7 linked regions of the Macaca fascicularis genome follow. The protein of the gene in region 2 purifies or fractionates together with the protein of the main gene of each other region. This does not show direct contact. Links are inferred from orthologs where the notes say so. Each region holds a gene or a part of one and is shown on either strand. Other genes may lie near its edges.

Region 1 (4,445 bases), on a different chromosome or scaffold from region 2:
AGCAGCCAGGGCAAAACAGGCTACACTATGTTTCTGATATCACAAAGAGAGTTCAAAAGAATTTCCAACATACGTAATCTCTGACACAAACCAGAGTTGTAATAAAGGCTGTGTATGAATAAAGAGAGGGGCCAGGACAGAAAAAAATATATTATAGGTGGGGAAGGAAGACACAGCTTGGATAGGGTAGTGTGAATTGGGGGCTGAGAGGAAAAAAAGGCTAGAGATAAGATGATACTTGGTGCATAGAGAAGAAGGAAAATAGGACAGACTACAAGCTAGCCTACCCACAGGTCTCACTCCCTTCAGTCTTCCTTTTGTTATGAGCAGGTGGCCAGTTATATCTATGTCCCATGCAGACCTTTACCACCATGGAGATGAGAATCAGGCACAGCTATGAACAGCACTGAGTCCTAAATGCTCATGTTGATGGAGCAGTAAGTTATCTATTTCAAAAATCCCACTTTGTAAGATCCTTCAACTCCTTAATTTATATTTCATCCACTCTGTGAAATTCTACCTTTTCGCAAAGAATGTTCTATGGGCAGTTTATAGATGTACAACAACAACAAAGTTATGTGCTTAAAAAGCTGGAATATTCTGGGGATAGGGTGACGGCTGTACAACGTCAATATACTTAATGCTACCTAACTGTACACTTAAAAATAAAGTGATAAATGTTGTGTTATGTATACTTTACCATAATAAAACAAAAAGTGATGAATTCATCCATCCCCACCCAGGGACCAAAAAAAGAAGTCACAAAAGCTGCCAGCATGCATCCTTTTTCCTTATGATCAGTCTATAGGCAGGCTTAGGTAACACAGGCAACATGCCACTGGAAGCACTTGGCTCCCACTTATTTTTTTAGTGTGTTATATTCCCTCTGATGGTGAGAATTATTAAATTTACTACTTATCCTGCTATCATAGGATTTAATGCCTTAGTCCTTCACCTTCCATTCTCTTTCTCCAAGATTTTCTCCCACACCCTATCTAGAAACCTGGTTCACAAAACTTCCTCAGTTCTATCAGTTTCAGTTGTCATTCTAATTACCCTAAACATGCCTATTTCTCCAAAGTAGACACCTATCTCCCCTTTCTCCCACCCCAAATTATGAGCTTTCTCACTACACCCATGTTCCTTTAGATAACAAATTATTACTTTTCCTCTTGAATTCATTTCTCTATTCACAATCCAAGCCCAGGCATTTTAGTAAAATCTTAACTGTTCATCTTGTCCCACATGTTGTTCCACTCAAATTTATCCTTCACAAAACCATTTTCCTAGAACAACACTTTTAATCTTGACATTTCCTTGTTTAAGGCCAATTAATGAGGAGCATTATGATCATAGCAGCAACAACAAAGTAGCAGCAGGTGCTAACAGTTGAGGGCTTTCATGGGTCAGGTACTGTATTTAGCTTTACATACATTATTATTTTATTTAACTCTCAAACCCATGATGCATGCAAGTATTATACTATACCTATTTTATAGGGAACAAAACAAAGCCTGTATTACAGGAAGTGTTAGTCCGGGGTCTATTTACCTAAAATGTCCTTTAGGAAAGCATGAACCTCTCAAATGGCAATGCATGGTTGCGTGGATGTGCATCTGTGCATTTTTCTGGGGAAAGGGTTCACAGCTTTTATTGATTATCATTTTTTATAACAAAAAATACATGTCCCAGGCCTGACGCAGTGGCTCACGCCTATAATCCCTGCACTTTGGGAGGCTGAGACAGGTGGATCACCTGAGGTCAGGAGTTCGAGACCAGCCTGGCCAACATGGTGAAACCCTGTCTCTACTAAAAATACAAAAAATTAGCCCAGCGCGGTGGCGGGCGCCTGTAATCCCAGCTACTCAGGAGGCTGAGGCAGGAGAATCGCTTGAACCCAGGAGGAGGCTACAGTGAGCCGAGATCGCGCCACTACATTCCAGCCTGGGCAACAGAGTGAGACTCCGTCTCGAAAACAAAAACTAACAAACACACAAACATGACCCAAATATTATTTTTTAAACTGCTGTTACAATGGTTAAACATTCTCTATTAAATCAAAGTAAAATTCTTGAGTCTGATGTTAACTGTCCTCCACTGACTGGAGCGCCCCCCATCTCCAATCTATTAATATCGCCTTCCGTTTGAAGCCATGATCTGCACCAACTTACCCTCATACTGTCCCGACCTGGAATACATCCCCAATTCCAAAGCCCATCCATACTTCCAAAGGTTTAACTCTGGACCCATCATGAAGCCTTCCTTGTCTACTGCAGTCCCCACTGATATCACACGGCCTCCAAGCAAGCGCGCGCACACACGGACCCAAACACACGGACGCACACATTCCAACAGGCAGTCTCCTTCAACCCTCTTCTCACACATTCGTGCTCACACATACACACTGTGACGTGCATCTGCCTCACACACCCTGACACTCTACATTCACAGAGACACACGCGCACTGTCACACTCACTAAACACCTGGTCACAGCCTGACAGTCATACCCAAGTTCCCCGCAACAGCTCTATCTATGCCCAGTACCTCAGATACAACTTTGGACACACACAGGCAGAGTATCTTTCTCTCTCATACACACACACAAGCCTACTGGCCCACAAATACTGCCCAAGGTCCCACTAACCATCTATCCCACACTGTCAGCCCTGTGTTCCACAGACGCTCAAACCCACCGCCGCTCCCTCTCGCGCCCCGCCTCACCCGATGCTGGTACAGACAGACGTTCCCGAAGCCGCCGGTGCCCAACCGCTCCCGCATCTCCCAGGGCCCGCCCGCGCCCGGCCGCAGCCCCGGGGGCCGCTCCATGGGGCGGGAGGGCAAGCGGCCTCAGGCTCCGCCGCTGTTCCAAGGCCGGTTCCGGGCCGCCGACGCTCGCGCGTCTTCCTTCTCGCGAGAATGAATGCGTCACTTCCGGTAACCGCTGCGAGAACGGCCCTTCCCTACGTTTTCCCAGGGCGCCGCCGGAGCCCTGCCGGCTAAGGGGTGGGGAAACGAACAGGTACTCGGTCCGCTCTTTAGGTCCCCTAGGTATTTTCTGGGAGGGCTGAACGGAACCACAATGTTTTTCAAGTCTTGGAAAACATAAGATCTCTCCAAACCTCGCATTCCCATCAAATCCACTTTTCAAAGCAGTCCAGTCTCTCCTGTATTAAATATATTTTTTTAATTAAGATGGGGTCTTGCTCCGTTGCCCAGGCTGGAGTGCAGTGGCATGATCACGGCTCACTGCTGCCTCGACCTCCCGGAATTGAGCGATCTTCCCACCTCCCGAGTAGTTGGGATTGCAGGCGCGCACCACCTCGCTTGGTTTTTTTGTTTTTTGTAGAGACATGGTCTTGCTACGTTGCCCAGGCTGGTCCCGAACTCCTGGCCTCAAGCAGTCCTCCCACCTCGGCAACCCAAAGTTCTGGGATTATAGACGTGAGCCACCACGCCCGGCAATTAGTCTTTTCTAAACTTCACATTGTCTCCACTCGTCTACACTTCACCTTTCTTCAGATCCCTGCCATCTATCCTCCAACTCCACCACCCGCTGATCCGGCACGCTAAAGACCACCAATGATTTAAAGGCTGCGGAACTGGAAAAATACTACGCCAGCAGGCCCACTAATGAATTAGCCTTACTGTTCACTGACTTCCCAATACACCTGCTCCATGATATGCCCCGTCATCCCAAATGACTCAATGATGTGACGCTATTCCGGAGTGAAGAATGTTTCTCGGGATTTTGGGAACTTTTTTCCTAGATGCCTCACAGAGCTTGCTGTCCAGCAGTCCAGTTAGGGCTCTGCCAGCACAGCAGTTCATTGTGAGAAGTGTTTCTAATGGGTGCTGCAGGGCTGCAGAGGCAAGCTTTGGGAATGCTGTTGGTGCAGCAAGTGCTTCCGGGTGGCGGATTGACATAGCATAGGAGAACCAGCTTCTGGTCTTCCATTTGAGAGGCTCATACTTTCACTGTACCTGGGGAATCTCAATACTCCAAGTAAAGGAGTCAGCATGGAATCAAATTCTTGAGAAATGTGATGCTGCAACCAGAATGTTGAGCACTGCATGATACAGACCAAGTCGATGTTGTAGGTCATTAGTAACATGTGGTATGGGAGGTTCTGGTTTCTATAAGTGCGTGGTTTCCATGGACTTGGAGATGATGGCGCCTCTGAGGACATGTCATTTAGAGCTGGGCAGACCGCACAGAGAATTGTGGTACAGATTGTTATAACAGTATGAAGCCCTCTCATTTGACGTATGTACAGCATGGCCAGTGCTAGTGTGCTCAATTTCCATAGGTGGGGCTGTAATCTCATAATTCCCACTCAAAAGAGGAAGGGATACTGAGGACCCAGGGATACTGATGATTGGGCTGACCCGGAAGTGGCCATCTTTGTGGAAACCAGGTTGGTTCCCTTTGTTAACTTTTTAAATG
Region 2 (3,753 bases):
AATTCAAATAAGATCTGGAAAACAGTTACTGGTACTACATCAATGTTAACTTCCTGATTTTGATAAATGTACTGTGATTAGGTAAGATGTTAACATTTAGAGGAAGCTGTGTGAGGCATATAAGGGAACACTGTATACTAGTTGCGCAACTTTTCTGTAATTCTAAAATTATTTCAAAACAAAAAGTTAAAAAAAATTGACTCCCATCACAAGGATTACCAAAAGCAAGATTTGATTTAATTTAGTCTGCTCTAAAGTTGTCTCCACAGTAGTAATGTTGTGGTATTGTCCATAATTGGGAAAAGTTTTCCCTCTTAGTTGACAAAACCCTCCAGTTAAAAAATATAAATTACTGAATCTAGGGAGTTCCTATATCCATAGGAGTAAACCTCTACCTTTGTATATACATTTGAAATTTTTCATAATAAAAATTTAAAATACACATTATAGACAAGCTTAAGTGCTTACTAATATAGTGAAGATGATTTTCTATCACTCCTACAACTTTTGTAAATGTTTAGAATTCTATGATGGAGTTTTAGGGCTAGTAGGACCTTAAAAATTAAGCGGTTCCACCTTGCCTCACTGCATAGGAAGGATGCTAATGCCCAGAGGTGAGGTCTAGTTGGAGCCAGCCTGAGACCAGGGCTGAGGCTGGAACCCTATCTCCCAACTCCTAGTCTGGAGCTACTTCCCTGATATTCTACATTTAAAGCTCTTCATGTATTCTAAAACTTATCTTAAATGACAATTTGGGATAAGTAATATTTGTAACTGCTTCCCAAAACAACAGAATTTTAACTGACTTTCCAAACTCGTAGAAGTGAAATATGGGCCGAAAATAGTATATACTTTAAATATAAGAAACTCAGCTATTCTTGTTTTCTGTTTAAATGAACTCTATTTTACTTTTTTTTTTTTTTAAAGTCAAGGTCTCACTATGGTGCCTAGGCTAGAGTGCACTGGCTATTCACCGGTGTAATCATAGCATGCTATAGCCTCGAACTCCTGGCCTCTAGTGATCCTCCCATCTCAGCCTCCCAAGTAGCTGGGACAACAGGTGTACACCATTACACCTAGCTTTTTGAAATCTTTATTTTAAACAGAACTTTTATAATAGTTCATGTTCCCATCCTTGTTGAATGATTTGATTTTTGTTCTTAATGGAAGTATTTCTCTGTTTTCTCACAACTCTCTTTTGAAGGATTTCAGCTCACTAATGACACTTCTCAAGCATTTATCTATGAAGAAAGCCTTTACTGAACACCAAATGTGTGTCAGGCACTGCAGGTAATGCTGAAAACAAAAGGATGAAGAAAGATTCTGGTCCTCAAGCACTCATAGTATATTGGGATAAATGGGCAAATACTGATTACAATGTAAAGTGACAAGTAGTATACACAGTGGTATATATAATTTGCTCTGGGAGGGAAGAAGAGTTAGCTATCTCAGTCCTCAGAGATGCCCCTTCTCCCACTTAGCAAATGAAGAAACGGAAAAGCTTCAGGTTACTCAATAAACACCAAAGCAGGACTTGAACCTAGGTCTACTGATAGGGAATAGAATGAACATTATTATCCAATATTGATCTAAATGATGAACTATTTTTTATCTTGATGACAGCTGATGAGATGGATTTGAGTCCTAAAGAGGATTATAATCTACTGCTCTGTTTAGTAACTCTGTAACCCTGGGCAATTTATTTAAGATCTCTGAATTAACTTTTCTTATCTGGGGACAGGAAATTTTACCTCTTAAGGCTGTGAGAAATAAACGAACAAATATATCAGGCAACAAATATAGTTGCTGGCACACCAAAGAGTCCATAGATTGAGAATTTCTTGTGGATGGAATTACTTTGTATTCATTTTTGAGTTTGTAGAGGCTGGTAGCATGCCTGGCACACATGTTGAATTAATGTTTACTAAATAAAATTATTAAATAAATGTTGAATCTGAAACTATTCTTTTTTTTTTTTTTTGAGACAGAGTCTCGCTGTCTCCCAGGCTGGAGTGCAGTGGCGCCATCTCGGCTCACTGCAAGCTCTGCCTCCCAGGTTCACGCCATTCTCCTGCCTCAGCCTCCCGGGTAGCTGGGACTATAGGCACCCTCCACCATGCCTGGTTAATATTTTGTACTTTTAGTAGAGACGGCTTTCCCAGTGTTAGGCAGGCTAGTCTTGACCTCCTGACCTCGTGATCCGCCCGCCTTGGCCTCCCAAAGTGCTGGGATTACAGGCGCGAGCCACCACGCCCGGACTTTTTTTTTTTTTTTTTTTCCCACAGAATCTTGCTGTTGTCCAGGCCGGAGCCAATGGCACAATCACGGCTCTCTGCTGTAGCGTTGATCTCCAGAGCTCAAGTGATTCTTCCACCTCAGCCTCCCAAGTAGCTGGGACTACAGGGACGTGTCACCACACTTGACTAATTCTCTTGATGCTTTTTAGTAGAGATGGGGCCTCACTATGTTGCCCTGGCTGCTGCCGCATTCCTAAGCTCAAGAGATCCTCCTGCCTTAGCCTCCCAAAGTGCTGGAATTACAGGCGTGAGCCACTGTGCCCGGCTAAGACTATCTTTGAGATATATTCAATACTTTTTTTTTTTTCTGAGGCAGAGTCTCGCTCTGTCACCCAGGCTGGAGTGCAGTAGCACCATCTTGGCTCACTGCAACCCCCACCTCCCCGGTTCAAGTGATTCTTGTGCATCAGTCTCCCAAGGAGCTGGGATTACAGGCATGCACCACCACGTCTGGCTAGTTTTTTGTATTTTTAGTAGAGATGGGGTTTCGCCATGCTGGCCAGGCTGGTCTCAAACTCCTGAGCTCAGGCAATCCGCCCGCCTCCACCTCCCAAAGTGCTGGGATTAAAGGCGTGAGTCACCACGCCCAGCCGATATGTTCATTTCCATAAACATATTTTTTTTAAGTCTCCATTTCGTCCACATAAATGGTCCAACTTTTAAGGACTAGTTCCCTCTTACTTTAATACTTACTTTCTACTGTTGCTCCTTCGTTTGGATTTGAATATCCCTCTCCTTTCCGTTTGGTTCTCCGGATAATGCCTCCATCTTCAAATAAGTCCTCTCCTTTGAAATCAAGGAGCTCAATCTAGAAAGAAAAAAGGAATTCAGATGAGAAAAGACCAAATAAAGCCAATTTAACATATGTGAAGGCAAGGGCAACCAATTATTTCATTTTACAAAATAAAGCTGTTTCAAAATGTATACATTCATTTATGCATCTTAATTATTGGAAAAGTAGCAAAAAAAAAAACAAAAAACCCACTATACTTTTCCATACTTGGAAAGAATTTCACATAATGATAATGTCTAGGACTATATCCTAAGGGACTGCGGTGCAAAGACAGGAAATACTAGGAACACTACCCTGTGGGCAAAAACCCAGAGCTTTACAAGGTGCTGGTGTAGAACAGTTTGTCTGAGGCCACAACTTTCCCACCCTGGATTTATGGAGTTCCCTTCTCAAAATGTAAACATAAATTTCATGAATGTGGCCTGTGACTGATTAAAGGTATATTTTACCTAGCTGGGGTAGTTCTTAAAAATCAAGTTTTGCCAAATATATGTAATTTCAACACAGGTTGAATAATGTTTTATCACCATCAAACACTTCTAGAGAAGTGAGATCTGTGACATATAAACCTTTATAATATGAAAATACCCTGCAACTTGACATAGGCATATTTCAACATTTATTGCCAACATTTCCATCCTGCATTCTGGTCAATTTTGAGTA
Region 3 (4,303 bases), on a different chromosome or scaffold from region 2:
CCAGCCTCTGCATGGCATCTAGTGTAAAGCAGGCATCAAAAATTTGTGTGAGTTTATGGGAAAGTGGTGTTTGAGCTGGGTCTCTTACCCCACCTATCACTGCACCAGACTGAATAGGAGGGAGAATGGGAGTTCCCAGAAACTTTGATACTAGCAAGGAAGTGGTTGTGATACTTCTGGCAAGATATGATAAGGGTCTGCACCAGCATAAGAAACCATCAGAATGGCATCGACTCATGTGAGAGCAGTTCAGAAAGGTAAACATGTCCAGACGTGGTGAACAGCTGAATAGAGGGAAAGAACAAGGGATAGAGGAACTGTCATTTCTGACATGAAGGTGCTATTCGTTGAGATAGGAAGCACAGGGCGAGTATGTTTGTGAGTAAAAGATAAAGTATTTGGTTGGACTTCTTAAAATTGAAGTTCTGGTAGGATATCTAGGTGGAGCTGTCCAGCAGACACGTGGAAATGTGAGTCTGAGACATGGTTGGAAATAGAGATTTGGAGGGATAGTTGGGCCGTAAGAGTGGATGAGACCTTCAAGGGGAGAGTGGAATGAGAAGAGAGCTGGGTTTGGAACCACAGTGAACAATTAACGAGGCAAAAACAAAAGGGGCCCTTTAAAAGACTGAAAAGGACTTAGGCAATAGGAGACTGCAGAAGATGCCACAGCCAAGTGGAAGGCTCAGAAGGGAAGTAGAGGCACAGTGACAGACGCTGCAGAGAAATAATTGAAAAGTATCGTTTGGATTTCAACCCCGAAAGTCATTTAAGTGACGTGGTGAGGGCAGAAGCAGATTGACAAGAGTTCAGGCATGAGCTGTAGATGAGAAAGTGGAGGCAGGTACTTCCCAGGTCCGGTGGACAGAGCTCTGTAGCTGTACTTAAGTTAAAACTGTGACATCTTCCAGGGTAGGCAGGGTCTCTACTTATCTGTGGTCTCAGCGTCCAGCCCACGGCCTGGAAGAGGGGGTGGCGTCAATGAGTTCAGTGACTAGGGACGGAGAAAGACTTCGCGGAGGCAGTCGCTTTGCAGCCAAGGCTTGAAGGATGAGGGTGATTGGGAGGAGAGGTGGGAGGCGAGGTGGGAGGCAGGGCCCCTGGGCGCTGGAGTGCCGGGGGTCTGGGAATGAGGTGGGGTTCCCATAATGTGCGCGCGGCTCGGTGCGACAGGCGGGGGCTGTGTGTAGGTTTGGAGGGACCTATTTGGGGAAAAGACAGGGCGGAAGGCAGCTGTGGCGGGGTGTCCCTTCGCCCTGCCCCACTTATGCCACTGCGCGGTTCCAAGGCACCTTTATCGGAGCCCTCCCGCCGGGCTGCATGGCAACGGGTGACCGCCAGGGGCCGCTGTCTCGGGTCCCCGGTGCCCCCGCCCCTCTCCATTGGCCTTTGTTGCCGTCTGAGCGCCCCGCTTGACTCGTTCCGGTCCGCCCCCTGGGCCTGGCGGTCGCGCCTGCGCACTGGCAGCTGGCCGGGCGCTCGCAGGGGGAGCTGCTGCAGGCTCCGCGGCGGCGGCGGCGGCGGCGGCGGCAACGGAGGCTGCGGGGGCGGCGGCGCGAGCGGCCGGGCTTGGTAGGGGAGCCGAGCCCGGCCCGGGAACCCGAGCAGCGAGAGTGCGGGGTACCTAGGCCCCTCACGCTGGACTTCACAGTCTCCGGGCCGCCTGACCTCCGCACGGGTATATGGGATGGAAGCGGGACCCTCGGGAGCAGGTAAGGGCCCCCGGGAGGGGGAACGGTGCATGCTCCAAGGACTGGGGACTCCCGCATGAAAAGCGTGGTTTCCAAGTGAGGGAAGCGCTCCTGAGTGAGGAGAAGGGCTCTCCCACGATGGGGGCCCAGTTTGAAGGAGGCTGTGTGCAGTTCCGGGGGAGAACCATGTGAAGAGAGCCCTGAGATGGGGGCTGTTTGTCCAAGGAGGCTGTATGCAGTCCTGCGGGTTGGAAGTAATCTGGGAGAAGGGCCTGCACGCACGGAAGGACTCCCAGACGTCCGTGGAGGCCTACGGAGAGGCCCGGCAGGTGGCAGGGGACGGGCTCCAGGTGTCCAGGAGAGGAGGGGGCCACACAGATGGGCCTGGAGCTACCGCATGCCGGGGGCGGGGGCTCCGCTGGGCTGGAATAAGCTAATGTCTCTTGGGAGAAGGCGCCAGAACTGGACTGTGAGCTCCGCCCCACCGGGCCTGACGCGAGGGCGAGGGTCAGGGGGCGGTGGGTGGGGACCCAGTCCCGGGATTCCCCCCCGTGGGTCTGGGGAGTCGGAGTGGAGGCTCCGGAGCATGCGCGGAGGTGGCAGCTGGCAGGGGCTGCCCGACGTGGTGGGGGCGTGGCCGTCCAAATACCCCCACCTCTCTTCGCCGCCCCCCACCCTCGTTTGGCTTGGAAAAAGGAGCGTGCTGATGGGGTGCATTCGCTCTTAGGTTATGCTGGCAGAGTGCAAATGGTTATGGTCCCCGCCCCCATTTTAGGGGCTCTTACACTTGGCCCTCAGTAACAGTTTGCCAAGAATGGGTTGAGGGAAGCTGCCAAAGTGCATTTTTCTGCCACAGGAAAGACTGGGACCGAAGCAATGGGTTCTGGGGGTGGGTCCTCCTAAAGATAGGCCTTAGGAAAGGTATTGGTTACGGATGAATAAAGGACAGGGCAGACAGGGGCTACCTGGAAGGAGTTGTCTGCTTGGTTTGCAAGTTTCTGCTCCAATACTGAGTAGAGATGGGGGCTTTTAATCCACACACAAGATAATGACCTTTTCCATTGAATTGTCTGTTAAGGTTACACTCTACAGTTATAACATTTATTCTGATATTTCTTAATATTTTCATGGCTCCTATCTTCCACTGGATATCTTTCCGTTTTCCTCTCCCTGCTTCCCAGAAACTGTCAGGGCTGTCTTTAGAGCCAAGATCTAAACCCTACAAACAAGTTGGAGGATGGGGGAGTTTATAGCCTTCACCCTGGTGAGGCGCAGGTGATAGCCTTAACTTCTTATTTGCAGGTAACGAGGAGAAAAAGACATAGGAACAGAGGATAAACTGAGGCAGGATTGCCTCAAGAAAACTGGAGTCCTCAGGATGGGCTGTGGGGTGGTGATACCTCTTGTGTCTTAAGTGTCTTACCCTGTGATGGGACGAGGAGCCTGGACCTGGGAATCCTTCAGGTCATCTCTCACCACTTCCTTACATTTGGTCTGGGAATGGGAATCAAATTTCCATTTGGGACATGAACTTTATTACTTTCCTAATGGAAATTATTTTGTTTTTTTTTTGTAGCAGACCTAACTCCCTCCCACTCTCTCAAGGAAATAGCTCCTACCACCTCACTCAAGTTATCCATTTAGTGATCTATAAGTACTTAGTGACTGTTTTCCCCCTAATAACCAACCTTGTATAGGTTGTGTAGTCCCAAGGATAAGCGCAGGGAGCAACTGACTTTTGTACTTCCTCTCTGTCAGGCCCCTCTCTCCATCTCAGGCACTCCTGTTTTTCAAGGCTGGGGACTATTTCCAACAACCCATGAACTAGAGTAGTGGGGTAGGTCATTGAAGTCCACATGGATTGCTGGTTGCTGGTACCCATTCTAGACTAATGATTTTTATCCCGATGAATTCCTAATAGGCTCTGGAGTGATGAAAAATTGACTTTTTAAAAATTTGTTACAAAAAATAAGCTTCTAGGAAAGAGCTAGAACCTGCTGTTTGGAGTTACCCATAGCCTTAGGAAAAGCCTAGTGGGACAGGCTTTGCCTCAGAAAAGGGTATAATTGAGATTCAGTCTGGAAGCTGCAGATTGAGGGACCCCATAACTGCCTCCTTCCTAGGCCCGGACTGTTCTCTTGTAGGAAGTTAGAGTGGTGTCCCAAGGTGGCCTGAGGACATAATACACGACACTAAAGTGTTGTGTAAAAAACGAACAAACAAATAAACAAAAAGCCCAAAAAACTAAAGCATTGTTGCTAGCCTCACTGGGCTTATGCCCAGGTCTGCCTTCTGTGCTCAGGTGTGTTCCAAGCACATACACTAGACTAGGTGCTCCCTGAAGGTAGAAGCAGTGTCTGGTTTATTTGTAGAACTAGCAAGTGCCTAGTGTATAGGCCCTGGCACAGAATACATGTTTATTAATTAAATCACATTCCAATGTGAACATAAATGGTTAAGCACGTATATGGATATTTAATAAAGTGTATATTCACATGGAACAGATCCTTTTTGGAGAGATTGGCCTGTTAGTCTTTGCTTGCCCACCAGCTAACCTAACCTAACCTAACCTAACCTAACCTTGAATTTGTGTCTTTTGAATATGCAGTCTG
Region 4 (4,210 bases), on a different chromosome or scaffold from region 2:
CCTCCCAAGAGAAGCAGTGCCCGCCACAGATTGGCACATACCACATGCCAGGCCCAACCCTGATATACGTCCCATTTCTGGTTCACAGAAGAGAAACCCAGCGCTGACTCAGTTGTTCTGCCCAAGGCCACAGAATGGCTGATGGAACCAAGACTGGCGCATAGCCTGTGTGGCTCTCAAGGGCAGGCCCTGTCACCAAACCAGCCTCCCTTCCAGAGAGGAGCGCTCCCTCCATTCCACTCCCCACTCCTCTGCCGGGGGACCGGGACCCCGTACCTCAGGGGTGATGGAGCCGCAGAGCTGACTGATGAGGGCGAGTTGGTGCTGCTCCGTGTTGCCCTGCATGATGGGGCTGCGGGTCCACATCTCTGCCATGATGCACCCAGCACCCCACAGGTCAATGGGGGGGCCGTAGTCCCGCTCCCCTGGGAAGAAGAGCGCACCAGGAGGGCCCCTTGAGCCCGGAGGCCTCCTGAGACTCAATGCCCCAGGGCCGGCAGCTCAAGAAGCCCTGGCAGTGGGGGGGCGGGGGCCAGGTAGATGCCTGGCCCTCACCCCCCTCGGCCCGCTCGGGAGTCCTCACCGAGCAACAGCTCCGGGGGCCGGTACCAGAGTGTCACCACACGGTTGGTGTAGCGGTTGGGCTGGCTGTTCTTAGCCAGGCTGAAGGCCCGGGCCAGCCCAAAGTCTGCCAGCTTCAGGACCCCGTCACGAGTGATAAGCACGTTAGCAGCCTTCATGTCCCTATGCAGGATCTGCAAGAAGGGCAAGAGTGGCTCCTTCAGTGATATCCACCCGGGAGTGGGAGCCAAGGCCAGCCCAAGCCTGGGTCCTCCTCCCAGCTCTCGCCCCCACCTTGTTCCTGTGGATATAGTAGAGGCCGTTAAGGAGCATCTGCATCACCCTCTTGATCTCAGACAGCGTGAACTTGACCAAAACATTGCTCAACAGCCCAGCAAGGTCATGCTCGCAGAAGTCGAACACCAGGTATATACTGCCCTTGCAGCGGTTATAGGGTGAAGCTGAGGCAGGAATACAAGGAAGAAAAAGTCAAGAAAGCCACACCCAACACACTTTCCCACAACCAGTTTCTTTCTTCCTGCTCCAACCCATGGGCACCCAAGCCCTCCAGAGCATCTGTCTGTTCCTTCCTTCACTGGTCAAATATTTTCTGAGTGCCTCTTCTGGGCCAGGGCAGACCCCGAGGAAGCACCAGCTACGATGAAAGAGGACCAGAGAAAGCAGTCACCATGGGTCCATCTGAGTTAAGAGGAGGCAGTTTAGGTGGGTCTAGTTCCAACTTTACGAACAAAACCTTAGGCTACAAGTGTCATCTCCTCATAAGATCCAAACAACTTACCTTTGGTTCGACAAATCTCAATCAAGTTGACCACATTCTCATGTTTTAGAAGTTGAAGGATCTTGATCTCCCGCAAGGCGGTAATGGGGAACTGGGTGGGAGAGAGGGGAAAGTGGTCAAGAGTGAGCGCAGTACAGAGCCCAGCCCTGGGGTCTATATTGAGAGGCAAGTTGGGAGACAGAGCAAGATCATGGGCTCTGAAACCAGCTGTCTCAGAAGCTCTGCCTGTAAAATGGATATAGTAGGAGCATGCACACTTCAAGGAGATAATTTGAGACAACAAACTGAAACAGCAATACTTTGCTATTAGCCACTAAATGCTCGGCGGTTTCAGCCTTCAAACTTCAGCTCTATGGCTGTTTCGTTGGCAACAAACATGACGATTCAAAAATGTCCTCGCTAAAGCACATCAGGAAAAGGAAGGTTTATGGGACGTTGTACTTGAGCTAAGATGGGGTGGAGGGACCGCTCCTTTTAAACACATTAAATAACTGAGTATTAGTCACTTTTCAAAAATTTGCATGCATATGTATCTTTCTTTAACATTAAGCAAAATTTAACACTAAAAAAAGGTGTTTAAAGGCTTCCTAACTTCGTGAACTAAAGTGCACACGATGCATGCATCAACTCCCCCTCCCGGTCTCACCCATAACTGCCTAAGAATGAAGCATTTAGTTTTAGGGTGGAGGCCAAATTCCCTGGAAATTTCTGAACTACTACGAAAAAAATTAAATCTCAACCTGAGACTCCTAGAAGCAGCAGGGTGGAAAACCGACCCGGGGTCCTGGGCAGTTAGACGGCTGGCCCGCACGCCCGATCCGTACTCACCCCCTCCTTCTCGTTTTCCATCAGCACCTTCTTCAGAGCCACCTTCTGGCCGGTCTTGCGGTGCCTGGCCTTAAACACCTCCCTGCAGGCGGAAAGGGAGACCCGAGAGCTCATCAGGCGATTTCCGCAGGGCCCGCCCCTCCCCCACTACCGGAGGAGGGGCAGCAGCAAAAAGATTCCCGGGCGGGGCTGGGGTAAGTACCCAGGGCACGCGGCTACCCCGCCACCCGGCACCCTGTCTCGTTCGGAGCTTCTGCTTCCTTCTCTCAGTCCCTTCTCCTCACTTGGGCGTCTCTTGGAGAGATCCCGTTCCCCTCACGGGCGCCTCTCTGCAGCCCCTCCCCGCCCCCACCACCGGCCTCAGGCTCCTCCCCACCAGCCGGCTCCTTCAGGCCGGGGCGGGGTGCGGCGCGGCCTAAAGACCAGTGGGCAAGCCCGGGGACAGACGGTTTCTCTACCAACTCGGGCGGGGCCCGGGGCATCCCGACGTCCGCCCTAGGGGTGCAGGCCCACGGCTCCCGGCCCCGAGGGGCCCAGCCTTACCCGAAGGTGCCTTGGCCGATCTTGGCGAGCTTCTCGTATTTGGAAACTTCATCACAAAAGGGGCACTCCACCGAGTCGTACTGCTTTGCCATGGCCGCCTCCAACGCGCCGCCGCCGCCCCCAGCCGCTGCTGCTGCCGCTCCCGCTCCGGGTCCCGCCGCCGCCGCGCTCCAGGCCCCTCCGCGGCCGCGCCACTTCCGCCTCCACGGCCACTTCCGGCCTCGCGGCGCCGACCCCGCCTCTTCCGCCCGCCGCCCGCCGCCAGGCCCCCTGGGACTTGTAGTTCCCGAGAGGCCAGGGGGAGCCGGAGCTGCAGAGGCGCCTCCGCCGCCGCCGCTGCCCCCGCCTCCGCCGCCGCCACTACTGGCGGCGGCCCCGATCGGGGGCGCGGGGAGCCGGGGCGCCGGAGCTGGGGCTCGGGGTGGCGCGTCCCGCTGCATGGGCCCGGGCCGCCGCTGCTGCCGAAGCTGCTGCCGCTCTGGCGCCCGATCCGGGGCCAGCCGCAGTGCCCTGCTCCTCCTCCTCCGACGGCGCCGCCTCCGCCGGGCTGCGCGGGGCGGCGGGCGGGGGGGCAGCCCCCGAGCCGCGGCCTGGGGGCTCCCTGGCCGGGCCCGGGCCCGGGGCGGCCGGGCGAGGGGGCGAGACGGGAAGAGCCGACTAGGAGACGGCCCGAGAGCCCGGGAGGGGGCGCGTTATAAAGGGGGAGGTGCCCGGCCTCGCCTTCCCCTCCTCCTCCGCCCGCCCCCGCCCTCCTCCCTCCCACCCTCCGCGGCCGCACCTGCCGCCGCCGCCACCGCCCGCCCGCCCGCCCGCTCGCTGTCCGCCGGCCGCCCTCGGCGCGTCACCGCCCGCGGCCCCTCCTCCGCCTTCGGAGGTGGGGCCCCGCGCTCGGCACCTGGCTGCGGGCGCCCAGCCGCGTGCCTCAGTTTACCCCCACATGCCGGCTGCCGCGGAGAGCCCCTTCCTCCCCGGCTCGGAGTGCCCCCCCAAGAGGCGAAGGCGGGAGGCGCGGAGGGAGCGTCCTCCGGCCCTGGGAGGAGAAAACGGCCCCCGCCTCCGCCTCCCCCGGTCCCCGCCACCCTCCGTTGACATGGCAACCGACGGCCGCCAGGGGGCGCGGCGGCACTGGAGGCGACGAGCAAGCAACGCCCGGGCCTTCTATCGCTGGAGCCTGGCTCTCCAGGAGGCAGGGATGGGACCCGCAGGACTCGCGCCTTCGCCGAGTCGCGCCAGAGCTGATCAGGCCCCGGGTCAATAATCGCAAAAAACAGCTACCATTTTCTCAGCACTCTTTGTGTGCTCAGGAAGTGCTGGGCGTTCCCGCCGAATCCTGAATCAACAGCCCCATAGTCAGGATCACTAACCCATTTTGCAGAAGAGGACATTGAGGCTCAGAGGTGAGGTCATTTGCCCAAGGTCACACGGCGACAAAGCTGGGTGTCTGACTGTGAAGGGGATTCTCTTGACTCAGGCTATCCG
Region 5 (3,753 bases), on a different chromosome or scaffold from region 2:
GTGAGTTAATGCTCTTGGCATCCATGCCAGCCTTAGGCTTTTATGTTCTCGGCCACTGCCAGCTCCCAAAGGAGTGTGGGAGAGTAGAGGCCAATCCTGCTTACCCAGCGCCAGCCCAAGAGCTCACATAGTGACCTAACCTATAGGCCAGGCAGCCCCAACCCTGGCCAGGCTATCCCACCCAGAGCCCTCCTGCAGCACCTCTTGACCTTCCTGAGCTTATCTGCAAGTCTGAGCCAACAGGGATGGGGGTGCCAGGATCGAGTAAAGATCTGGCAAGAGGTAGGGGTACCAGCAAGGGTACCTCTCACTGTGGGGTCCAGGGCCACTCCTTTTACCGCCGCACCTACCTGCCACAGCGTTTATCAGTGACCACAAAATGCCAGGAACCCTTCTTAAGTGTCCAGAGAAGATTTTAACAGTCCCTGCTCTGTGCTTCCCACCCCCAACCCCACCCCAGGAGGCCATCTGCAGGGAGCCAGCAGAGAAGGAAACCTGCCGAGGTCTGGCTGCCAGGCCCTGTCAGGAAAGGACCGCTAGAATTCAGATGTCCAGTGGGGAACTTGAGTGAGACAGCCCTAGCCTGGAAGGGCATGTCTGAGGCCTCAGGGAGGCTGACGGTGGTGCCTAAGGCTCACAGGCCCAGGGTAAAGGGATCTTCTAGAGAATCCCCTGCTTTTCTTTCCCTATCCTATTTTCCCAGATTCTCAGGGGAAAGGTCATGCACTCCGGCCTCCTCCTGAAACAGGGTCCCTCCGTGGCATCCCAGTCCTCAGCACAGGGAGCTCATCACTTCCAAGGCAGCCCTGCCAGAGTTGCATGGCTCTTACAATAAGACCCTGCCTTTCACTGAGCTGAATTCTGCCTCCGCATGACAACCCCCACTGGCCCTGGCTCCCTTTGAGTCCTTTGAGTGAAAGTAAAGGTTCCCCGGACCCTCCACCTGCTCCCTAGTAACTCCAGAGGCTCATTTTCCCTCCAGCTCCTCAGAGAGGAGCAGCCCAGACCGCCTACTTGAGTCTGCCATGTCTCCACCTGGCCATGGTATAGTTGTGCATGTCCCTCCACCCACTGGTCCCAACCCTAACCTCTTGGGCCGCACTGAGTCATACAGGCATTTGCATGGAAACTTGGAGCAAATGGAAACTTCCTCTCAGTCTACCTTGTGGGCACAGGGAAGGCTGGATGCCTGGGTCTGAATGACCTGAGTACCCCATTTAATGTAGGAGCACTACAGTGCAGTGGTGGCCAACTCTGCCGTTAACTGGAGTATGATGCAGGCAAACCCTGAGTATGTTTATTCATCTTTGCAACAGCGAGGGCCACATACGGGTGGCACGCGGCTCCAATGAGGACACGAGCACTTTGTAGCTGAAGTGCCAAACCAACTAGAGCGCCTACAGCAGGGAGGCAACTGACTCCCTGGAGGTGGCCTCCCCAACCCAGACCTATATGAGAGGAAGCAAATGTTCTAGTCTTGTGGAATGGTGAAGGAACAAAACTACTGCACTGTTGGGCTTGGGAGAGAGTGACGTGCAGCATGACACACATAGGTATACCCCACTCTCCTGGGCACACTCAGCAGAGACCGCACACTACCCTAGCCACACTGAAGAAGGCAGCGGCCTGCTTGGTGAGAAAGCCCAGGGTCATGTTTCTCTCGACTAAGATCTGCACAGCCTCAAAGGCAGACCCTCAGGGGATGGGACTTATGCCCTTAGGGCTGGGCTTGGTGGTACTCCTAGCCCCTTGCCAGGCCAAGAACCTAAAAGTTATCACAGCTCCAAGCCATAGGGGAGCTATAGAGGCAGCTCCAAGCCATAGGGGAGCTGGGGCCTTGGCCTTGTTCTGATATCCACCACTACAGTCCTGGAGAAGTAGAGAGATTAGAACAGAACCTTTCACTGAGCAACAATTCTTGGGCAGTGTTGCCACATACCTGCAGGACCCAAGAATTTCTCCCTTATTACAGGGGATCAGCAAAACCCCAACATGGACAGGTCAGAACCCTACTTTGATGCCACCCTTCAAAAAGAAAAAAGTTAAGCTCTGATAGCTGCCACCCTCAAGAACTCAGGCCAGCTCTTCCCAGGAAGATCACATCCAGAGCCAGCTGTACTGCCCCAGCTCGCTCACCTGGCATGGTCCAAGCACTCCACCACCTTGCCAAAGGTGCCTTCACCCAGGTTCCCCACAATCTCATCTAGGAGAGAAAAGAAATTGGGCATGAGAATCTAGAGGACAGGGAGTTGGCAGCTCCTGCAAGTTCACAGCATTCAAATTCTCAAAAACAAAAAAGGTTTCTCTCTCACTGCTACACCCTTTAAAATGGAAGTTGCTAGTGTCTGTGTCATTCAGGCAATTACTGGTGGCCCCGCTAAGGCACCACGCGCACTAGAGGCCCCTCCAGGCAGGAGAGGTCTCGTCTAACAAGGGGGGTAGAAAGTAGAGAGGTAAAGTTTTACGAAAGGTGGCTGTACATCGCTCTTGGAGCCAATCGCCGATCCGGCACACCAGGTGACCCTCCTTGTCATCTTCCACACTCCGGCTGCTGCGCTTACTGCTCTGTTGGCTTCTCTGCATGCACCGCCCCCCGAAACGCCATCCGACCAATCGCATGGTAGGCGGTTCCGATTGACAGATTGAGGTGTCAGTCAAAGGCAGAGGTGGAGACGGTGAGGAGCCGGTGGGTTGGTTGGTTGGATTTTCCAGATCCCAGCATTTCATAAGGCACACAGCATATATAACGATAGGGATATTGCAAGGGACACGTCAAGACACAAACTGACTTCAAAAACAGAAAAGTAAAAACAGCTACAGGTATGTAAAGAAAACTCGGACATTATCTCTAAGAGGAGCGCCACAAACGCTCAGGAAGACGACCTGCCTCTGCTGCTGAGGGCCACGCTGTGAGGAGAGCCATCGCCCCGACTCCCTCCTCCTCCTCCTCCGAGTCTCTCCCTCCCAGGCCCTCCCATGTGGCTTTGGCCAGAGCGGAAGATGCAGTGAGAACGGTGGCGCAAGAAGGCAGCTGGCCCCGCCTGGGTCCAACCATCCAGACTGGTCAGCGGCTGCTCCGGCTTCAGCTGCAGAATGCCCAGCCTGTCCTTGCCTGCCTCTGTTCGCCCACGCAGACTTGCACATGCCTGACAGCTGCCACTCAGAGCCAAGCTGCTACCTGCCTCCAGACGGCATCCTTGGCCAGACTTCACCATCACTACCAGAAACAGCCTTCCGTCAGCAGCCCTCCTGCCACCAGCCTCAAGCAGGAAAGCAGCCTTGGATCCTCTGGGCCAGTCAACTGCAAGGCTTCCTACCACAATGGCCCACACAGGCCCCATGCCAGCTCCTGCCCTGGCCTTGGCACCTGTGCTGCTCACAATCTAGGCCCATCCCAAGCCTCACGACGATCGATAAGAGGGCACCAAACAGAGAAGCAGAGCCAGACCTGCACTGCCATCCTGTGGCAGCATGTGGCAGTGTGCAAAGAGGCCAAAGGGCCATGCTGCAATCGCCTGCACAGTCAACCCTCAACCTGTGGCCACTCAAAGAAGTCACAGAAAGAGCTGGGCAGAGAAGACGCCTGGCCTCTCCACCGCTCCTCAGGGGCCTCAAGGCCGGCAGGGGGGAGGCAGGGAAGAGGGATGGGGGAGAAGAGAAGACCGCACGTAACCTCGGAAATACACAACTGGCTTTCCTTCCCCAGGGAACTGAGCGCAGTGAGGGCTCCAGAGACCTTACAACCCTCCGTGC
Region 6 (4,417 bases), on a different chromosome or scaffold from region 2:
CCAAAGTGCTGGGATTACAGGCGTGAGCCACCGCGCCCGGCCGCATCACTCGTTTTAAAGGTAGCTTTTTTTTTTTTTTTTTTTTTTGAGACAGTCTCACTGTGTGGCCCAGGCTGGAGTGCAGAGGCGCGATCCTCCCTGCAAGCTCCACCTCTCGGGTTCACGCCATTCTCCTGCCTCAGGCTTCCAGCAACTGGGACCACAGGCGCCTGCGACCACGCCTGACTAATTTTTTGTATTTTTAGTAAAGACGGGGTTTCACCGTGTTAGCCAGGATGGTCTTGATCTCACGACCTCGTGATCCGCCCGCATTGGCCTCCCAAAGTGCTGGGATTACAGGCGTGAGCCCCCGCGCCCGGCATGAAGGTACCATTTTTTTTTTTTTTTTTTAACTAGAGAGGCTGCTTTTTGGAATTGTCTCTCTACTGCTACACTTACTTTTTTTGAGACGGAGTCTCCCTCTATTGCCCAGGCTGGAGTACAGTGGCGCAATCTCGGCTCACTAAAACCTTCGACTCCTGGGTTCAAGCGATTCTCCTGCCTCAGCCTCCCGAATAGCTGGGACTACAGGAGTGCACCACCACGCCCGGCTAGTTTTTGTATTTTTAGTAGAAACGGGGTTTCACCATATTGGCCAAGCTGGTCTCTAACTCCTGACCTCGTGATCCACCTGCCTCAGCCTCCCAAGTATTGGGATTACAGGCGTGAGCCACCGCGCCTGGCCTTACACTTTTCACCCAAGTTTTTAAATTTACTTTCCTAACTTAGCCGTTCCTTACCTATTTAGATATCTCATGTGCCCTCCAGAAAGTGCTTCTACTTCGAGCCCATTTTAAACATTTTTCACGAAAAGATATGTTGTTTGGCTCTATTATTAAAAGCTGCTTAATGCCTTATCTGACAAAAATTTTCCCTTACAGATTTTCAGAGTATGAAAGGTTAAGACTGATGTCCCTTCTACATTACTTATGAGAGATTTCAAAGGGAAAAACAAAAGCTATTTTATATACTTTTTTTTTTTGAGACGGAGTTTTACTCTTGTTGTCCAGGCTGGAGTGCAATGGCAAGATCTCGGCTCACCGCAACCTCTGCCTCCCTGTTTCAAACGATTCTCCTACCTCAGCCTCCCGAGTAGCTGGGATTACAGGCATGTGCCACCACGCCCGGCTAATTTTTTGTATTTTTGTAGCGACGGGGTTTCTCCATGTTGGTCAGGCTGGTCTCGAACTCCCGACCTCAGGTGATCCGCCCACCTCGGCCTCTTAAAGTGCTGGGATTACAGGTGTGAGCCACCGCGCCCAGTCTGATTCAAACTTTTAAAAACCCCGATTACGTATCACTCTCGGGGAGGGGGCTCCCTCAAAAATTCTAACATGCTGTGCTCTAGAAGCTTGTTTCCAGTGATAAACTTCGCTTCAGTGTATCCCTCACTCATTCCTTTAGATTTCTAGCCGTCAGTATCATGACTTTGAATCAAGCAAACCCTTCTTACTTTTCCACAAAGTCACTCCCTCTCATCTCTCTTCTGAATGGAATATTTTTTAAAAAAAGGTTCCCCCTTAATTGCTCTCCATACCTTTTAGGACGCAGTTAGTACCTTAAAAAATAACCTCCCGTCAAAAAAAAACCAAAAACTAAAACAAAACCCTGTAAAACCGGCAGTTCCCACTGTACGTGGCAGTGCCAAGAATTCTTACTCGGTTAAAATCGCCGAGGTTTCCTTTATCATCATAAAATGAAGACTACCATAGAATCTCAACACAAATTTAAACTCTTTAGGACAACAGTAGGTTAATTACACGCCTATTACATACATATTTCATCCCACAGTTACAGGATAGTGAAACCTCACCTCAGGTTTAACATGGAACACAGAAAATGTCCGTGTCTTTCCAAAGCAGACACGTGCAGAACTACCTGCTCAACGGTAACTCCTCCTCGCTGCCAGGGAAGCGGCTGAGTTTTGGCAACCTCCCGTGTTTTCAAGAGACTGGAGTTACGAGGCGGACTTCAAGAACCCACACTCAAGAAACCCAGACACTGGAGAGAAGTATGTTGCGGCGTGGGCATGGCTTCACTCTAGTTGCCTAGCAGTACCTGCCGCTCACGGCTAGGCCCGCGTGGGGCTCTCCCAGGAGCTCCGCCAGGCACCTGGCAGCACCCACCACAGGTGCACTCGACTCAGGGCCTGGCCCGGGGACCACAAAGCAGCAGAACCGGAGCGCCCAAGCAGCCGAGGCGACCCACGAGGGTTCACGCTTCACGGCGCCGCATGGCGAGCAGCTCCGGGGAGCTTAAGGCCTAAGGTGAAGTTACCTAAGGAAGCCAGTAGCCCAGACAGCCAAAGAGGGAAAAAGTAGGATTTCCGGTATAGGGAAGCCAAGGGACGTTTCAGGGGTGGGGGAAGCAGACATCTGGAGGAAAAATGTCCTCCACCCGCCAACGGTAACCGGAACAAGGATCCTGGACCTCCCGCCCCCAGGCAGGAACGACTGCCACCACCGATGCGAGAAAGGCTATGGGGCCAAAAGCAGAGGGAGGGCAAGGGCCGCTTCCAGGGAGCCCCCAACGCGGCCTCGGCCTCACTCTGGGCGACCTTCCCTCGGCGGGGTGTCGCACTCACATTGTGAACGGGGCAGGGGGACGGGCGAACGGGTGGGCGGGCCTCTCTGGCGGTGGCTGCTGCTAGGGAGTCGACTTCTCTCCAGTGGCGACTCCGCGTTTTCTCCCCGGTCGCGGCCTCTTCTCGCTTCCCTCAGGCGACGGCGGCAGCGGCGGGCTCGACCTCGGTCCCCAGAATGCACCGCGCGGAAAGAGCGGCTCCTCCGGTCGGGGAGAAGAGGAAAGTGTAGGAAAACGGGCGCGAGGACGGAGAATGAACGTGCGTGCGTGCAAACGAGGGGTGGTGAGGCCGGGCGGCGGCTGGTGACGCAGCAAAATGCCCGGGCCTTACCGCCGCGCGTGCGCAGTCCTTGTTTTCGGGGTCCGGCGCGGCTTTCTAGAGATATCTACGGAAAGGGCGGGGCTTCCCAGCTCCTTCGCGATCCTTCCTGGCGTCGGCCCCGCCCTTCGTCCGCCACCCCACCCCCACCCCGCCCCCTGCTAGTCGCTACGCGTTCCCGCCTCTCCTCCCTCGCTGTCCTCTCGCGTTAGAAAACCGTTGGTGTCCCAACTGCCCGGCCATGCGCCTTGGGCGATTTCTCTGAGAAACGGCTGCGTTGGCAGTGGGAGGCAAGGCCGAGGCGGAGGGACACGGAGTCGGGATCCTATAGAACTAAAATGGAGCGTTGGTTACTCTTGAGGGAGTAAATCAGTTCACTGAGGAATCATTCCACCACAAAAACCTGTGAAAGGCTGTGCTGTGGAAAAGGGCTCACTTCAGAATCAAGGGCCTGGGTCTACCTCGCCATTTTTCTGAAGGTTGGAGGCTCTGTCTAGGGACAGCGGAAATTGGAGGTTCTTGGCGGAGGAGGAGCATTTGCCATTTGGGGCGGGCTTTTGCCCCTACCTTGAGACCTCAGTGCTGTAGATGAGACAGGAAGGATATTTGGTGGGAGAGTCTTAGGTTTCTGGGAATGGAGAGGCTAGGACATTGGGTGTCTCCACGCACATCATTTGGGGGAGAACGGGTTCCCCGTCGCTTCGTGCAACACACTAATAGGGTGTATTAGGGGATAGTAACCAAGAGACCCAAAACAGTCCTGCTTACCAAGAGGCCACTTAACGGTGGAGTATGGGAAAAATACTCTAGTGCACTGCATTATGAACAGGAAGGAGGTTTAACGAAAGTGCTATAAAACGTTTCTGAAGAACGGGGCTTCATAATAAGCAATAAGGTATTTAGTGTCTATGTTGTGCACGACAGGTAGTGGGAGCTACGAAAACTGGACCCTAGCTCAAATGCCATTTTGGACCGGGCGCCCATAGCTCACGCCTGTAATCCCAGTACTTTGGGAAGCTTGAGGTGGGCGGATCACCTGAGGTCAGGAGTTTCACCTGCCCAACATGGTGAAACCCCATCTCTACTGAAATTACTAATTAGCAGGGCGTGGTGGCACGCGCCTGTAATGCCAAATACTAGGGAGTATGAGGCGGGAGGATAGCTCGAACCCAGGAGGTGGACGTTGCAGGGAGCACTCTAACCTGGGCGACAGAGTGAGACCCTGTATCAAAAAAAAAAAAAAAAGGGAAGTTGGCCTGGCGCGGTGGCTCACGCCTGTAATCCCAGCACCTTGGGAGGCCGAGGCAGGCGGATCACGAGGTCAGGAGTTTGAGACCAGACTGGCCAACGTGGTGAAACCCCATCTCTACTAAAAATACAAAAATTAGGGCCGGGCGCGGTGGCTCAAGCCTGTAATCCCAGCACTTTGGGAGGCCGAGATGGGCGGATCACGAGGTCAGGAAATCGAGACCATCC
Region 7 (3,400 bases), on a different chromosome or scaffold from region 2:
CAACAATGAAGCTTTGTCTTAATGTACCTATATCTTGACTAGTGGTCTCATAACTAGTACTACCTACTGCTAAGCTCCAAGGCCCTGAGGACATGGCCATGGCTGGTTCCCGCTCCCAGCCCAGCACTCAACACACAAATCCTCAGCAGTAGTACCAATGGTGCAGGTGGGGACAGGCTTCTGGGGAAAATGCTACCTTCCTCCTCATCATAGGAATTAAGTGTTGCAAGGATTAAATAAGATAATGCATATATGTAGTTGTAAGCCTTCAATAATTGTTAGTCATCACTATTATTATGAATAATAAAAAATGTGTAATGGAAAATTATAAATATGCACTGAAAAAATCAGCTGGGTGTGGTGACGCACGCCTATAGTCCCAGCTACTCAGGAGGCTGAGGCATGAGAATCACTTGAACCCGGGAAGCAGAGGTTGCAGTGAGCCAAGATCATGCCACCGCACTCCAGCCTGGGTGACAGGGAAAGACCCTGTCATAAACAAACAAACAAACACTGAGGTTGGGGATAATGCCAGATTGTGTTTCCATTTTCTTTTCTCTTTTGCTATAGAATGAAAGGACATGGAATCGCAGGGGGCTCACACAGGCTGTTACCGTGAAACTCTGGTCTTGCTCCCTCACGGTGTCCTGTATGGCATTTTCTAGCAGGGTGCACAGGTTATGTGCTTCGGCCACCAGTTCTTCACTAAAGAAAATGATCAAATTATTAGAAAGCGATCATTATTAGTTATCAGAGCTAACACTGCTATTTTAAAATATGCTAAAGAGTTTTGATAATACTTTTTAAATGAAGTAACAATTATTTTGATCCTGAGTGTCTTAAAACACCAACCCATTGACTAATACTTTCATCTTGTTATGCACTTTCCACACATGAGCATTACTGCCAAAAAGGCAAACAGATCTCCATAAAAAGTCAGAAGTAAAAAGAGCTCTTTCTGCTTTCTGACTTACTAGATAGCTGAATTTAATTCTCAAACTGCCAAAATCTAAAGATATTCTCCAAATCACCTGTTTTCCAATTTCTGAAGTAGACAAAAAAAAAAGGGCCAACCAATTTATCAGGGTTCCATAGTTCCTTGGAATCTGTTGAAAAGCAGTTCTGGGATTTGGTTTCATCTAATCTGATCTCTCTCTTTTCTATAATAAGAAACCCATGTTTCCTCTGAGGATTGGGCCACATTGAGAAAGCGCAGCATGTAATAAAACATCTTTTTCTAACCTCAGCTCTATGCTGTGGGGAGACAAGAGACATCCTACATACCCAGGTCTACCTTTCTAGAGCTTTGAGGACATCATTGAAGGGAATAAGCCACGTAAGGGAAGACAGTGCCCCGGAACTCCTCTCACTCTGCAAAATGTGACAATCTGATGGCAGGAGCTCAGAGTACATTTTTGCCAAACCTCAGCTACAGGGCCTCTAGCTAGGCTAAAGGCTCAGTGCCTGCCCCAGAAGGGAATGGAAGAGGCTCCTGGCCTAGCTACTATACTCCAGGAGCTCATGAGAGGTTGGGGAAGTACTTTTTATTTAACAAAAAAAAAGGGCCGGATGCGGTGGCTCACGCCTGTAATCCCAGCACTTTGGGAGACTGAGGCGGACGGATCACCTGAGGTCTGGAGTTTAAGACCAGCCAGACCAACAGGCTGGAGAAACCCTGTCTCTAATAAAAACACAAATTTAGCAAGGCCTGGTGGCTCATGCCTGTAATCCCAGCTACTCGGGAGGCTGAGGCAGGAGAATCGCGTGAACCCAGGAGGCTGAGTTTGAGGTGAGCTGAGATTGCGCCATTGCACTCCAGCCTGGGCAACAAGAGCGAAACTCCGTCTCAAAAAAAAAAAAGAGAAGCAGTCTCACTACGTTGCCCAGGCTTGCCTCAAACTCCTGCAAACCTCCTGCCTCGGCCTCCCAAAGTGCTAGGATTACAAGAATGTGCCATACGGCCGAGAGAAAATTAAGTATCCAAGGTCACATAAATATCAAAATAGGCTACAAAGTCCCCAAGGACAAGAACAAGATTCTTCAAAGCAGACTGTATTGAGATATAATTTACATACCATAAAGCTCACCCATTTAAAGTGTACAATTCAAGGGTTTTCGCATATTTACAGAGTTGTGCAACCATCACCATGTCTAGTTTCAGAATGTTTTCTTCATCCTCAGAAGAAACCTTGCATTATCAGTCACTCCCATCCTCCTCCCCTGCCCCAGGCAATCATCAGTGTTTCCCATGCCTAGAGATTAGTTCCTGCAGAAACCCATAGAGCCCTGCACACAGAAAGTGTCAAACAAAACAAACCACAGGAAGGGACGACCGTGGGAACAGAGGTGGCCTGCAGTGTGCTGGAGAATGGGCGGAGGGCTGCTAGACACAGACTGCTGGGCCCCAACCCTGAGCTCCCAAGTGAGGTCTCCGGCAGGACCTGAGAATTTGATACTGTGCTACTGGCACAGATGAGACCTGAAGAAAGCTCAGACCTGAGCATCTATAACGGAGGGGGAAGCTGTTATTCATGACTGACCAAGGAATACCTTGGTCAGAGTGGTATTTTGTGAAGATTAATTCAACCACACAGGGCTTGGCAGCAGAAAGGCAGGAGGCAGGACGCAGAAAGCCCTGCCGCCATGGTTCAGGCAAGAGGAGGCAGAGGACGGGAAGAACGGGAAGGTCAGTGGCACCAGAAGGAGGGTGGTGACTTGGTAACTCAAGGGAGTGGTAGGGTGAGTGGGGGCAGATGGCTCAGGGGAGATGAAAGATGAAGTGGGCCTCCCTGAAGGGAATGTGGCTTCCTATGGATAAAAGGTAGCAGCATGTGCCCAACCAGCATTTCCAATGTTCTCATTAAGCAGTTAGTCATCCAAGCCTTGGACAAAGAAACTAGTTAGTAAGTTTCAAGGGACTAGGAGAGCAAAACATGTAACACTTTTGTCCCCACAGGACCTAGCAGATGCAACAAACATCCAGAGAGGTAGTGATATCATTGGACAGACATTTACCAGTGACAAACGCCTCCATCCCCAATCTCCTGACGTGCCCTCGACAGTCACACTTGGCGCTGCTAACGGGGACCTACCTCTTCTTGGCTGGTTCGGGTAAGCTGTTGGAGGCCGTGGAGGGCTGAGACATCAGCTGCCCAGGCTGGCTAAGTCGAGAGGCATTCATGCTATCCGGGCTTCCACTGACAGGACCACGGACCTTGCTCTAGGGGACAAAATCAAAAGAAATTAGGAGCCAAGTGACGAATCACATTTTGCATTCACACCACAGTATTTTCTCAGGAGACAACTGACTGCCAGATGCCAGAGCTAACCCTACAGCCTACCAGTCGGCACCCCTACCTGGGGGGCAGCTGGTGCTTCATATCTGGCTTCAAAAGTGTTT

What was found.
Region 1: the proteins of FKBP5 (region 2) and CHUK purify together in Homo sapiens (co-immunoprecipitation; 4 studies listed by BioGRID and IntAct, with this or other methods). This does not show direct contact. The link is inferred for Macaca fascicularis from reciprocal best matches to the Homo sapiens genes FKBP5 and CHUK.
Region 3: the proteins of FKBP5 (region 2) and protein argonaute-1 purify together in Homo sapiens (affinity purification with mass spectrometry; 6 studies listed by BioGRID and IntAct, with this or other methods). This does not show direct contact. The link is inferred for Macaca fascicularis from reciprocal best matches to the Homo sapiens genes FKBP5 and AGO1.
Region 4: the proteins of FKBP5 (region 2) and CDK9 purify together in Homo sapiens (affinity purification with mass spectrometry; 10 studies listed by BioGRID and IntAct, counting the BioPlex papers as one, with this or other methods). This does not show direct contact. The link is inferred for Macaca fascicularis from reciprocal best matches to the Homo sapiens genes FKBP5 and CDK9.
Region 5: the proteins of FKBP5 (region 2) and CLK3 purify together in Homo sapiens (affinity purification with mass spectrometry; 3 studies listed by BioGRID and IntAct, counting the BioPlex papers as one, with this or other methods). This does not show direct contact. The link is inferred for Macaca fascicularis from reciprocal best matches to the Homo sapiens genes FKBP5 and CLK3.
Region 6: the proteins of FKBP5 (region 2) and PTGES3 purify together in Homo sapiens (affinity purification with mass spectrometry; 4 studies listed by BioGRID and IntAct, with this or other methods). This does not show direct contact. The link is inferred for Macaca fascicularis from reciprocal best matches to the Homo sapiens genes FKBP5 and PTGES3.
Region 7: the proteins of FKBP5 (region 2) and IKBKB purify together in Homo sapiens (affinity purification with mass spectrometry; 3 studies listed by BioGRID and IntAct, with this or other methods). This does not show direct contact. The link is inferred for Macaca fascicularis from reciprocal best matches to the Homo sapiens genes FKBP5 and IKBKB.

Annotation. Positions count from the first base shown.
Region 1 is NC_088383.1:109,176,140-109,180,584, forward strand, and holds the start of CHUK (inhibitor of nuclear factor kappa-B kinase subunit alpha), read right to left. Parts: upstream 2,892-4,445; 5' UTR 2,828-2,891; coding exon 2,723-2,827; intron 1,624-2,722; exon of another isoform or gene 1,552-1,623; intron 1-1,551.
Region 2 is NC_088378.1:136,068,591-136,072,343, reverse strand, and holds part of FKBP5 (peptidyl-prolyl cis-trans isomerase FKBP5), read right to left. Parts: intron 3,106-3,753; coding exon 2,991-3,105; intron 1-2,990. UniProt on the Homo sapiens protein: Immunophilin protein with PPIase and co-chaperone activities. Component of unligated steroid receptors heterocomplexes through interaction with heat-shock protein 90 (HSP90).
Region 3 is NC_088375.1:199,056,953-199,061,255, reverse strand, and holds the start of protein argonaute-1, read left to right. Parts: upstream 1-1,459; 5' UTR 1,460-1,687; coding exon 1,688-1,712; intron 1,713-4,303.
Region 4 is NC_088389.1:16,210,941-16,215,150, forward strand, and holds the start of CDK9 (cyclin-dependent kinase 9), read right to left. Parts: upstream 2,939-4,210; 5' UTR 2,824-2,938; coding exon 2,732-2,823; intron 2,271-2,731; coding exon 2,189-2,270; intron 1,452-2,188; coding exon 1,361-1,451; intron 1,023-1,360; coding exon 856-1,022; intron 756-855; coding exon 584-755; intron 426-583; coding exon 277-425; intron 1-276. UniProt on the Homo sapiens protein: Protein kinase involved in the regulation of transcription.
Region 5 is NC_088381.1:51,734,803-51,738,555, reverse strand, and holds part of CLK3 (dual specificity protein kinase CLK3), read right to left. Parts: intron 2,578-3,753; coding exon 2,481-2,577; intron 2,204-2,480; coding exon 2,137-2,203; intron 1-2,136. UniProt on the Homo sapiens protein: Dual specificity kinase acting on both serine/threonine and tyrosine-containing substrates. Phosphorylates serine- and arginine-rich (SR) proteins of the spliceosomal complex.
Region 6 is NC_088385.1:63,494,805-63,499,221, forward strand, and holds the start of PTGES3 (prostaglandin E synthase 3), read right to left. Parts: upstream 2,921-4,417; 5' UTR 2,626-2,920; coding exon of another isoform or gene 2,624-2,625; intron 2,373-2,623; exon of another isoform or gene 2,317-2,372; intron 2,041-2,316; 5' UTR 1,867-2,040; coding exon 1,853-1,866; intron 1-1,852. UniProt on the Homo sapiens protein: Cytosolic prostaglandin synthase that catalyzes the oxidoreduction of prostaglandin endoperoxide H2 (PGH2) to prostaglandin E2 (PGE2).
Region 7 is NC_088382.1:45,840,535-45,843,934, reverse strand, and holds part of IKBKB (inhibitor of nuclear factor kappa-B kinase subunit beta), read right to left. Parts: intron 3,221-3,400; coding exon 3,093-3,220; intron 706-3,092; coding exon 615-705; intron 1-614.